Oryctolagus cuniculus: one gene and its partners. The protein of the gene in region 1 interacts with the protein of each later gene in a biochemical or structural test. Links are inferred from orthologs where the notes say so. Each region holds a gene or a part of one and is shown in the gene's direction. Other genes may lie near its edges. The genes, in order: PARD3, JAM3 and JAM2.

The links.
Region 2: the proteins of PARD3 (region 1) and JAM3 form a complex in vitro, tested with the Homo sapiens proteins (2 studies listed by BioGRID and IntAct, with this or other methods). The link is inferred for Oryctolagus cuniculus from reciprocal best matches to the Homo sapiens genes PARD3 and JAM3.
Region 3: the proteins of PARD3 (region 1) and JAM2 form a complex in vitro, tested with the Homo sapiens proteins (2 studies listed by BioGRID and IntAct, with this or other methods). The link is inferred for Oryctolagus cuniculus from reciprocal best matches to the Homo sapiens genes PARD3 and JAM2.

The regions. Positions count from the first base shown.
Region 1 is NC_091444.1:107,619,847-107,624,164, forward strand, and holds the start of PARD3 (partitioning defective 3 homolog), read left to right. Parts: upstream 1-1,294; 5' UTR 1,295-1,309; coding exon 1,310-1,453; intron 1,454-4,318. UniProt on the Homo sapiens protein: Adapter protein involved in asymmetrical cell division and cell polarization processes. Seems to play a central role in the formation of epithelial tight junctions. Targets the phosphatase PTEN to cell junctions.
Region 2 is NC_091432.1:128,328,912-128,332,640, forward strand, and holds part of JAM3 (junctional adhesion molecule C), read left to right. Parts: intron 1-821; coding exon 822-951; intron 952-1,038; coding exon 1,039-1,093; intron 1,094-1,344; coding exon of another isoform or gene 1,345-1,380; exon of another isoform or gene 1,381-3,729. UniProt on the Homo sapiens protein: Junctional adhesion protein that mediates heterotypic cell-cell interactions with its cognate receptor JAM2 to regulate different cellular processes. Plays a role in homing and mobilization of hematopoietic stem and progenitor cells within the bone marrow.
Region 3 is NC_091435.1:20,181,927-20,185,655, reverse strand, and holds part of JAM2 (junctional adhesion molecule B), read left to right. Parts: intron 1-1,921; coding exon 1,922-2,029; intron 2,030-3,428; coding exon 3,429-3,444; intron 3,445-3,729. UniProt on the Homo sapiens protein: Junctional adhesion protein that mediates heterotypic cell-cell interactions with its cognate receptor JAM3 to regulate different cellular processes. Plays a role in homing and mobilization of hematopoietic stem and progenitor cells within the bone marrow.

The DNA.
Region 1 (4,318 bases):
CTCTTCCTTCATGACACCCAGAGGCTTCTAAAAGCTTAATTCATTTTATTTATTTGAGTGTCAGAGACACTGAGAGAGATAGGCAGAGATCTTCTATGTGCTGGTTCACTCCCCAAATGGCTGTAACAGCCAGGAGCCAGGAACTTTGTCTGGATCTCCCACATGGGTGCAGGGGCCCAAACACTTGGGCCGTCCCCTGCTGCCTCCTAGGGTGTGCATTAGCAGGGAGCTGGCGTGGGGTGTAGAGCAGGACTCCACCCCAGGCACTCTGATACTGGGTGCAGGTGCCCCCCAGGGCATCCTAACCGCTGTGCCAAACGCCCACCCCGTGGTAGGTTTTTGGGCAAAGGGTACCTTGCATTCCATTAGCTGCCCGATGGTGGTCCTGGGAAGAGCCTGGTTCTCTTTGTTCTAGTGGCCATCAGCGTAATGCTGCTGCGCTCTGGGCAGCTTCTGTCAGACAGATTTAGAACACCAGGTGCTTGTTGCACAGGTGTCTGAATTAAAGAGACTTAAAGAAACCCTCACGTTTCCAGTTCTCAAGCTCCCTGTGTGGGGATGGCACCTGTTCTCAAAGCAGTGATTTCTATAGCATGCTTCAGTGCGGTGGGGCTCCTCGTGGGTTCTTCCCTGCTGTGTGGCTTCTTTTTTGAAAAAAGATGAAGTCACAGGGCTTGCTGAAGTTAAGTGTCCGTGGACGACCAGGGAGCGCGAGGTCTCGTCGGAGCCTGGAGTATGCCGTCTGCTGTCCGCGTGGTGTTTGATGCCTGCGGGGCCACAGAGCAGACGTGCTTGGTTCCGGAATACTCTGAGGGTGCTTCATCCACGGGTGACCAGCGCGGTCCTGCCTTGGTCGTGGTCTTTGGTGGCTGCTTCTGTTTTGCTTTGAAATCATGCATCGGTTCTCTTGGCTGCGTCGTGATCAGTTTGCAGTTGCCTTGTGTTGTGTGCATTTATGCTAATTCTACTGTAAATGTTTGCCTGGAATCCGTATTCTTCTGCAGGCACCAGACTCATTTCTTCTGGTGTTCAGCCAGAGAAACGGGAGCGTCTCCCAGCACTGCAAGAAAACTGGCAGTGCTAGGGCTCTGGAAAAAGACTGCTGAATGTGCCCCTGCTGTGCCGGCTGCGTAAGTGATTTTCAAGGGCAGTTTTGCCTTAACCTTACCCTTGGCCTCGGAGGTCACGTGTTGCATGTGAGATGTCGCCTGCAGCTGTGCGGGGAGGGCGTCGTGGTGCGTCTTATTACCAGCGGTGTTTGGGTTGCTGCTTTTCTGATGAGTGTGGAAGATGATTTTCTGATGAGAGAATGGAAGCCCGGCAGGCGCTTGCTGTTGCCCTGGGGGGTCCCTGTGACCAGAACGTGTGTGGCCCCTCATCTGTGTGTGTCGCTGAGGTGGCTCCGTCTTGGAAGACGCCGGGTTCAAGGAGAAGCCCATCCTGTTTCTCAGAGGTGGACCGTGGGAGAGCTGGTGGGGGGCTCACGTCTGAGCGTTTGTCCAACGGAGAGTGAAGCGGGAAATGGACAGTGGGTAAAGCGGCTGCCTGCGGCGCCTACGTCCCGTATGAGCACCGGTCAAAGCTGCTTCATGTCCCGGCTGCTCCACCTCGACGCAGCTCCCTGCTATGGCCTGGGAAAGCAGCAGAAGGTGACCCAAGGGCTTGGACCCCTGCACCCATGTGGGAGACCTGGATGGAGCTCCGGGCTTCAGCCTGGTCCAGCCCCAGCCATTGCGGCCATTTGGGGAGTGGGCCAGTGGGTGGAAGATAGGTCTCCCTCTGTAACTGTGCAGAATGACTGAGTGACCAAGCCAGCAGGGCACTTGCCGGGCGCTCTGAATCCATGAAGTTCACAGGAGAACATGAGGCACTGCTGAGGGGGGGGTGGTTCCCCAGGAGGGCGCTGTGTCCAGGAAAGATGTTGAGGAAACGTGGTTTTCCTAAGCTCAACAATTAGAATGTCATCTTTGTTCCCATTGAATCAGCAAACCCGGAAATGGTTGACAGGCTCAGTGCCCGTGGACATCGTTGGCGACGGTTTGTCCGGATTCAGAAAATCTGTGAAAGCGTCCGTGTGCTTCCTCTCGTCCTCTCTGATGGCGAGTGCCCCTAGGAGAGGGAAGTTATGGGTGGCGATATTCAGTTCCCCAGGCTTTTGCTTCTGCAAGAACTGAGTGGTGTAGAAGTCTGACAGCAGGAGCCTGATTGTTGTTTATTTAAGGTTATTAGAGTTGCACGCAGAGACAGAGAGCGAGATCTTCCACCTGCTGGCTCACTCCCCAAGTGGCTGTAGCAGCCAGATCAGGGCCAGGTTGGAGCCAGGAGCTTCATCTGGGTCCCTGATGAGGTGCAGGGGCCCAAGCACTTGGGCCATCTTCTACTGCTTTCCCCGGCCTTTAGCAGGAAACTGGGTTGAAAGTGGAGCAGCTGGGAATCGAACTGGTGCCTGTGTGGTATGCTGGCATCACAGGTGGCAGCTTAACCCACAGTACCACAGCAGGAGCCTTATTCCAGAGGCCACAGGCCGTCCCTTAGGAGGGATCCTGTGAGCCCCGAGATGGACGTGAAGCCTGTGTCTCAGAGTGAAGAGAGGTTACGTGTGTTGTGAAAACTGTGATAGGAACGAACGCCAAGCATGTTATCACCAAGGCTCTGTCCGAATGCTCTTTGTTGACAGGTGGAGGGCTTATAGATTTCATTTTTTCTTAAACGATTATAGTTTTTACCGAGGTGATTGGGTCAGGGGCCGGTGTTGTGGTGCTGTGGGTTAAGCCGCTGTCTGTGATGCGGCTGTCCGTTTTGGGGTGCCTGTTCAATTCCTGGCTGCTCTGCTGCCTGCCATCGAGTCTGGGAAGGCAGTGGATGGTGGCCCAAGTGGTTGGTCTCCCTGCCACCCACCTGGGAGACCCGGATGGAGTTCCAGGCTCCTGGCTTTGGCCTGGCCGAGCCCCACTTGTTGGGGATATTTGGCAGTGAAACAGTGGATGGAAGATTCTTTCTCTCTTCCCCTGTCTCTGTCACTCTGCCTTTCAAATAAATAATAAAATCTTTTTTTTTTTTTTTTTTTTGACAGAGTTAGTGAGAGAGAGACAGACAGAAAGGTCTTCCTTCTGTTGGTTCACCCCCCAAATGGCAAATAACAACTGCGCTGTGCTGATCCGAAGCCAGGAGCCAGGTGCTACCTCCTGGTCTCCCATGCAGGTGCAGGGCCCAAGCACTTGGGCCATCCTGCACTGTCATCCCGGGCCACAGCAGAGAGCTGGCCTGGAAGAGGAGCAACCGGGACAGAATCCGGCACCCCAACCGGGACTAGAACCTGGGGTGCCGGTGCCGCAGGTGGAGGATTAGCCTAGTGAGCCGCAGCGCCGGCCAGTAATAAAATCTTTTAGAAGAATAGATTCAGCTGTGGTAAGACGAACGTGAGATGGTGAGATGCTAGGGCGACTTTGTCTTCAGGCCCAGGCGTGCGCCAGCCGTGTTCTTGCTGTGGCCACGGACACGGCTTTCCTGAGTGTTTACTGAAGCAGAGGCAGCGTGTCTGTGTCTTTCTCACAGCCTTGCTTGCTCGGAAGGGAATGCAAGCTACAGAATCACGTAGAGACACGTTTTCTGTAGGCATTTTAGAGTGAATCCTTTAATCATCAAAAGAGTCAAGTCTTTTTTTAATACGGAATTTAACACATGAGATTTTCATGGTCACGGCAAATGCATGTCAATTATAACAGAATTCTCCTGTTCCTGTTATAGTAGCACAAACAGCAGACTCCATGTAGTTCACAGATATAATTCTTTATATGTGTGTGTGTGTGTGCATTTGAAAGAGAAAGCGGTCTTCCATCTGCTGGTTTACTCCCCAGATGGTCTCAACAGCCAGGGCTGGGCCAGGCTGAAGCCAGGAGCTTCTTCTGGGTCTCCCACGTGGGTGCAGGGGCCCAGGTACTTGGGCCATCTCCTGCTGCTTTCCCAGGTGTATTAGCAGGGAGCTGGATTGGAAGTGGAGCAGCTGGGACTCGAACTGGTAGCCACATGGGACGCCAGTGTCGCAGGCCATGGCTTTACTGTGTGCTTACTGTGCTCTTGAAGGCCCTGTCCTGCCCCGGATGGCCGTGATAGACGTCCCTGTGTAAGAATGGCCGCACAGTGGACACGCTGACCTTCACTCCCAGCACAGATGCAGGCCAGGGCTTTAACCCGCTGCGCCACAGCACTGGCCCCCATGTTAGCTTTTTATCTGTATATATTTCCCTTTGTAATTCTGTAGAGAGATTGTGACCTTAATAGACATTTGTGGTAACTGGCAGTGGCAGCTCTGAGAACA
Region 2 (3,729 bases), on another chromosome or scaffold:
ACTCACTCACATTTGAGAACCAGCATACTAGAGTAATGGAGAATTTTGAGTTTTCAAATTAACTGACTTTTGTTGATAAATTCCCTGCATTCTTATGTGCATAAAGGAAACAGCCACCAGTGCTCTCACAGGGAAGTGCATCGCCCAGCATGTAGAAATGATAAAGGACTCCCAGGGACTTTCCTCTAAGAGGCCTGCAGGTGGGAGGCTAGGGGGCCAGTGCAGTAGAAGGGCAAGGTCTCTCCTAGTTTTTTTTTTTTTTTTAAGATTTATTTATTTATTTGAAATACAGAGTTACAGAGAGGAAGAGACAGAAAAATCTTCCATCCACTGTTTCACTCCCCAGATGGCCACAACAGCCAGGGCTGGGCCAGGATGAATCCAGGAGCTTCTTCCCAGTCTTGGGAACTAGCTTTCGTCTTTCAAATAATTCACAAGAAAGTGAGATCCTGGAAATTAATTTTTACTCACTTTGGATTCCTGGCACCTAAACTTGTCCATACAATGTAACCATTTCTCCCATTAGTAACAGTCTTGGGCATTTAGCCAGAGGATTTTAAATTTTTCTATATATTACCAAGCCCTTTGTAACACAGAATGCAGTGTCAGTGCATTTGAACTGTCAGCCTCTGTTCTTTTCACCCCTTCAGTCAGGGTTATGGTGTTCTAGATGAAGAAAGCTCTTAGTGCCCTCAGTTTGCTCTGGTTGGCTGGGGTGGGTAGAGGGCTGAGTCTGGGAGGGCGGGGGAAGGGGCTGAGGGCTCAAGTCTTCCTAAGGAACAGCTGGTATGTGTCATCTTGTCCCTCAACTTCCTTCTCAGATGACCTCAACATCGCTGGCATCATTGGGGGTGTTCTGGTTGTCCTTGCTGTCCTGGCCCTGATAACGCTGGGCATCTGCTGTGCATACAGACGTGGCTACTTCATCAACAACAGGCAGGATGGAGAGAGGTGAGCCCGCCTTGCCTGAAAAAATCTAAGCCCAAGCTAGCCTTGATCAGAGCATGAGGCCACTGAATTGCCCCCTTCTGTCCACAGTTACAAGACCCCAGGGAAGTCAGATGGAGTTAACTATATCAGGACAGACGAAGAGGTAAGTAGCTGGAAGTCCAGGTATGCCCAGCCGGGAAACCAAGTGGGCCCCATAGGGAGATCTTTGAGTTCCTGTGTACACCCTGCACTCCTCAGTCCTTCACGGTGGCATGCACACACTAATGGGATTCACACTTGCTTTTAGTATGGCTCAGTCTCCAGGACACGTTTGGCCCACATTTAGTTTGCTAGTTTTTCTGTTTCTCACTGCCCCTGGGGTCTCTTGGCTGTTAATCTGTATTGGCTTTGCAGGGTGACTTCAGGCACAAGTCATCATTTGTGATCTGAAACCTGGCCGTGTGGCTGAAAGCAGTGCAAATACCTCTACTAGAATCTCCTGTCCGGGGCAGCCGTGAACCTGCTGAGTGCACCAGGACAGAGCTTGACACTCATGCAGAAGCTTTTTGTTTTGGCCAAAGTTGACCGCTACTCCTTTCTTACTCTTTTAACAAGCCACACGAATAAAAGATTTTTCCTCAAGATGGGCATGGTAACCACAAGGAAACAGAATGAACACACCGACTTGGATTCCCACGCCTATTAGGGTGATCACAGCAGCTCTCAGGCACAGGCTCTGTGAAGCCAGTGTATTGTCATTGGCTGTCAAGCAGCCAGATGGGCCCATGGGAGGTGACAAGGCAGCTGTGTGACTGCCCTCAGCCCACATTTGCATCTGTGAACCCAGAAAAAGGCTCACATGACAGCCTTGTTCCACTGCCAACAGGCCCCCCACACTGTGTTCCTAAAGGCTCTGGTGGTTACTGTTGTAGTAGCCATCTTGGAAAATCTTTTTGGATCAGCATTTTATAAAAACAACCAAAAATCAGGAAGGTAAATCCTTGCTGGAAGAGGGGTCTTCTAATCTGGGGAACCCTGCATGTCCAAGAGGGTGTCAGCATTGAAGCAAAACCTCTGTCATAGGCTAAGTCAGAAATGGTACGGAAATATGCTTTTTTATGGGTCTCGTTTATTTTATAAAATTTTACATTCTAAATTTCTGCTAAAGATGTATTTTGATTATTGAAGAAAATTTCTATTTAAACTGTAAATATATTGTCATACAATGTTAACCTATTTTTTTAAACAAAGGTCAATTTAATGTAGAAGTTCCAAGCAAATAGTGTTGAATTGGAAAATATCAGTAATTAAGAGTATTTTATCCAAGGACTCCTCTCAAGAAAGCTTACTGGAACATTCCTTTTGCCACATAAGGTTTAGCATTTTTCATAAGAGAACTTAGGACATCTGTACATCAGATGGTTGTTACTTAGGAAACCTTTGAAAAATTCTCATCTAGCAGTATTGAAATCTGTCTGTCCAAGCAAACCTAAGGAGCTCTCAGGTTAGCTTTGAACTGCCTCTCCCCAAGACCCCCGGAAGCCTTCAGGTGTCCACGTAGAGACCACTCTGTTCACCTCCCAGGGTGAGTCACAGCCAGGATGCCCCCCGCCCCCTTCCATCTTTACAACCCCTGAGGTGCTGGACCCTTCGCCTCCACGGTGGTATGCACGCGTCCTGGAGCACTTGTGGCATCCCAGCCTTTGGGTTCTCGTGACAGACCTTTTTATGGCTATGGACGGCTCACAAAACAAAGCAGTTACTGCCATTTCTAAAGTTCATTTTAATTATTTGTGTAGTTCAATGAGGTTGTCCAGGGCCAAGGGCAGTTTTGAAATCAAGTTTGTCCACTGCAGTATTTTTACAGAGGAATCCCACCGTTCCTCTTTGCCATGAAGAAAGCGCCCGGCACCACAGGTTCTCCGTCTGCTCACAATAAAGCATTGTGTGGCAGCAGCCAGCCCAGCCTTCTGAAGCATGTCGGGCAGTACAGCCAGGGTAAAAAGCCTGATGGCGAGGACAGCACACGCCTGAATCAAAAGCAGTTTTCTAATTTTGATTTAAAATATTTTATCTGCCCAAGACAGTGCTCACTTTGTGGGGGACATTAAAAACATCATCCAAAGCCTTTGTTCTTCAAGAGCAGATGTTCTTAGCCTCAGAGACACCGCTGGGCTACACTCATGATGTGAAGGGGTTTGAAGCAAGGAGTTTCTCAAAAGGAACATCTAATTCCATTGTGTGCCTAAAGGATGGTTTTTATGTAGAAAAACATAGTCACCTTGTGATTCAACTTTCAGTGTCTTAATTTTTTTGTACTTTGACAGTTTTTTTACTTGAGCCTTTTGTTGACTTTCCTTTGTAAGTTATGTGACATACTTTGTTACGGGATATTTTGCAGAAGTCGTAGGCAACAATTCCTCCGTGGTACCTGTCTTCTTTTGCATTGCTGTCTCGCCTGCTTAGAGTTAAGACTGTCCCTTCATCTTCACCTCCTCTTGGTAGGAGGGGATAGCTCCCCAGTCTACTTCTTGGGGCTTAACACTCTGCTCCCTTCTCGGCTGTCGTAAGATGGGGTGGCCTGTTGCCTCCCTTCCTACACCCCAACCATCTACCCCGGTGCCATGGGAGCTGGATCTGTCAGAGGAGACAGCATTAAGGTGTGGAGTTGGGGAAGCAGTTGCCTGTTACTGTGAAACTGTAGACAGAGCAGGAGCCCTCAAGTATTTTTAAGATGTGAATGTGAATTGAAGGCTCAAGGCCTGAACAGGCGGTGCTTCTGGCTTTTGGTGTAGATGT
Region 3 (3,729 bases), on another chromosome or scaffold:
TAAGAAACAAAACTTAAAACTTTGTTTTCCAGGAGGACCACTTTAATTTGAAAATAATTCCTACTTATCTACTCTTGAGGTATAAGCTAGCTTAAAAGTTAAAATTAGTTTAGTACTCATCCATTAAGACTAGGTGTTTCGTGACTTGGTTTGGCATTTCCATCTTTTGAAATACAAAGAAACTTCAAAAAGTTTCTGGAAAATGGAATTGAAAGGTAAGCTTATTTCATGTAAAAGGAATTTGAAATCCATGTGTATTTTTCTCATCATATGCATTTCCATGGATTTTTGTGGTGACCTCTCATTATATGAATTTTTGAATTCATTTTCTTTGTGAATTATTACTAGTAACTTGTAAAGAAAACCAGACTCTGTTAACTGTTCTGCAGAAATTCTGTAGGACTTGCTGATGATTTCCAAGATGCCTCGTTGAACAGATTCAGCAGATCCCAATCCTACTTTCCCTTTCACCAGTTCGACTTCTTTCTTTTACTGTAGAATAATGGCATCTTCCTTTTAAAGTGGACTTTTCTCCCCCAAAGAAAGAACACAGAACATTTTCAGACTTATTGTTACATTTTCTCTTTGCTGAAGCTTAATACAGTTGTATGACTTGCTCAGTACCTCACAGAAGATGACAAATGAATGCAACGTACCTCTAATTCACTCTTCTTCCATCCTCAGTTTCCTTGAAGAAAACAGTGTAAAATGTGTATCCTGACTTAGCACTTACTGGACAAGAAATTTTTTGTCAGAATTTGCATTTAGGGTAAAATATTCATGGATGTCAAATTCTCCTACCAAGTACAGGACATTTTTTTTTTTTGTCAAATAATTGCCCTTAGATTGGACATACTACTGTATATATCAAATTTATGGACTACTACTATAAAAAAGAGTATATTTTAGAATTATATGTTTTTTGTTTGAAGATTTATTTATTTAAAAGGCAGTTACAGAGAGGGGAAAAGAGCACTTCCTTCTGCTGCTTTGCCCACAATGGCCACAACAGCCTAGGCATGGGCAGGCTGAAGCCAGGAGCCTAGAACTCCATCCAGGTCTCCCAGTTGGGTGGCGGGGAGCCAAGCATTTGGGCCCTCTTCTGCTGCTTTCCCAGGAGCATTAGCAGGGAGTTGGATTGGAAGTGGAGTGGCTGACACTCACTGGGACTCATATGGGATGCCAGCATCCAGGCAGCGGCTTAACCTGCTGTGCTACCATGCTTGCCCCAGAACTATATGCTTTTTTCTTTTTAAATATTTATTGATTGATTTGAAAGTTAGAGTCGTAGAGAGACATGGATCGACAGAAAGATAGAGATATCTTCCATCTGCAGGTTCATTGCCTGAATAGCTGCAATGGCTAGGGTTGGGCCAGGCCAGAGCAGGAGCTGGGCACTTCATTCAGGTCTCCCAAATAGGTGTAGGGGCCCGAGTACCTGAGTCATCTTCCACGGCTTTTCCAGGTGCCTTAGCAGGAAGCTGGATTGGAAGTGGAGTAGCCAGGACTCAAGCTGGTGCCCATATGGGATGCCAGTGCTGCAGGCAACTGCTTACCCACAATGGCGCCAACCCAAACAGTATTGTTTTCTTTTTTTAATTTTGCTTTTAACCAATATTAAATTCTGTGACTTATCTCATGCCCAAATTAATGTAAAAGAATACCAAATAAATACATTTTATTTCGGGATCATAGAACTTTTTTAAAATTTAAGATCCTTATAAAACTTAGTTCTATTAATATTGCAGTCAATTTTGAGCCATGTCCTGGAAGTGAATTAGCTGAACAAGCTACAAAAATAAGAAACTTTGCTTTGTGATTTGACTATAAAGCGGGAGCTTTGTTTGAACCTTTTCCATGTCATGCTCCCTCTGCTCAGCTACCTGAAATGGATTCATGCGTGGTTTACTTCACATTCTAGATGACCTCAACATAAGTGGCATCATAGCAGCCGTAGTGGTGGTGGCCTTAGTGATTTCGGTTTGTGGCCTTGGCGTGTGCTATGCTCAGAGGAAAGGTTACTTTTCAAGTAAGTGCACTTTCACAACTTCCGATGGACATACCCTAAAGACTTTCTAGAAAACTCTGGAAAATGTTTGTTGTTGATTTTCTACTACAGAAAATCTCTATGATGACATGCAGGTGGGTTACAAAGCACCGTGGCAACCCTAGGAAGAAAAGACAGAACTATCTCATTATAAAATTGCAGGAAACAACAGAGATATGTGAGACATCCGAGACATGGCACTCTGCCATGAGATAGATATATTCATTGTAGGCCAATATTTATAGCTTATTTATATGTGTTTAAGATTTTTTTTAAGTTAGGAATTATATGTCTCAAGAGATAAACTAATTTCTTATTTTGTAAGCAGTTTCATTGTAATAAATGAAATATTTATAAGTACAGAATAGTGAATTATTGAATGTCAAATGCACAGATGTATTTAGATGAGAATTGTTCAGTCAAAACTAGGAACCTAATGTATTAGTGTTGTTTCTGTACGGGGATTTTCATTCTTCAAGTTTACAGTAGAACTCTATCAGGAGATACATTGAATATTATATGTGATAAATTTTTTCTGTGAACATGGATCCAAAGAGATTTTCTAGAACTAAGAATAACTGCTCTGTGAATTAATAATAATTATTCATGTTTATAGTATTCCAATGTACTCTATTGTAATATAATTTTATGAATGAACTCCACCTGTGTCCCCCTGCTGGTTACCAATGAAAGTACACACTAGTACGATGCCTGTACACATTCAAAATTTATCATCTGAGTATTTTAATGAAGCATTCCTGAGCAAAGTTTTCTTAAAATAGTGAATTAGTTAAAGAGCATACTTGGATACTAGGAGTTCATTTGCCAAGAATGTTGCTTCACATTTAATCTGGCAGAAAACCTAGTCAAGAGAGCCATAATACTTTGACTTGCGTTTAGAATAGGAGCTGGCAAACTATGACAAGAGGACCAAATCTGGCCCCCCATCTGTTTGTCTATTGGCCCATGAGCTAAAAACAGCTTTTACAGATGAAAATTTGCAGTCTATACGATGATAGGGAGCACTAGCTTTCAACTGAAATTAAGGGGAAAATTCCTTTCTTCTAACTATTAAACCTGTATTATAAGACTTTGATTATTATTCAGTTTTGAATGTCATCAATAGAAATTTTAGAAATGTGCTTTCTGTCTTGTTGTAAAAGTACCTGTGTATATTGTTGATATTTGCCTCCAGACCCCCGAAGTTTAAAATATTACTGTCTGGACTCTTTACAGTAAAAATTTGCCAGTCCTTGATTTAGAAAGTACAAGTGTCAGCAGGTGAGAACCGAGGTGTTTTAGAAATTAAGCTCTGTGACTCTGTATCATTCCGTGTTATCTCTTGCATTAATGACACATACTTTTTTTTTTTTTTTTGTAGAAGAAACCGCCTTCCAGTAAGTATACCTTCTTTAAGTTTATTCCTTTTCCCCTGTATGAAGTAGTTTCCCATTAGTCATCCAAGGGAATGAGAGAGGAAGGAGGAGGGTGGGGTGGGAAGTATCACTATGTTACTAAATCTGTATGTATGAAATTTGTATACCTTAAATAACACTTTTTAAAAGTGTTTTAAAAAAATGGAAAGTTGGGTTATTTATGTAGGTTTAATCTTACGGGAAGTACTAAATTTCATCAAGAAATGTATTCTACCTCATGTGTGCTTGTAAATGATCATTAGTTAA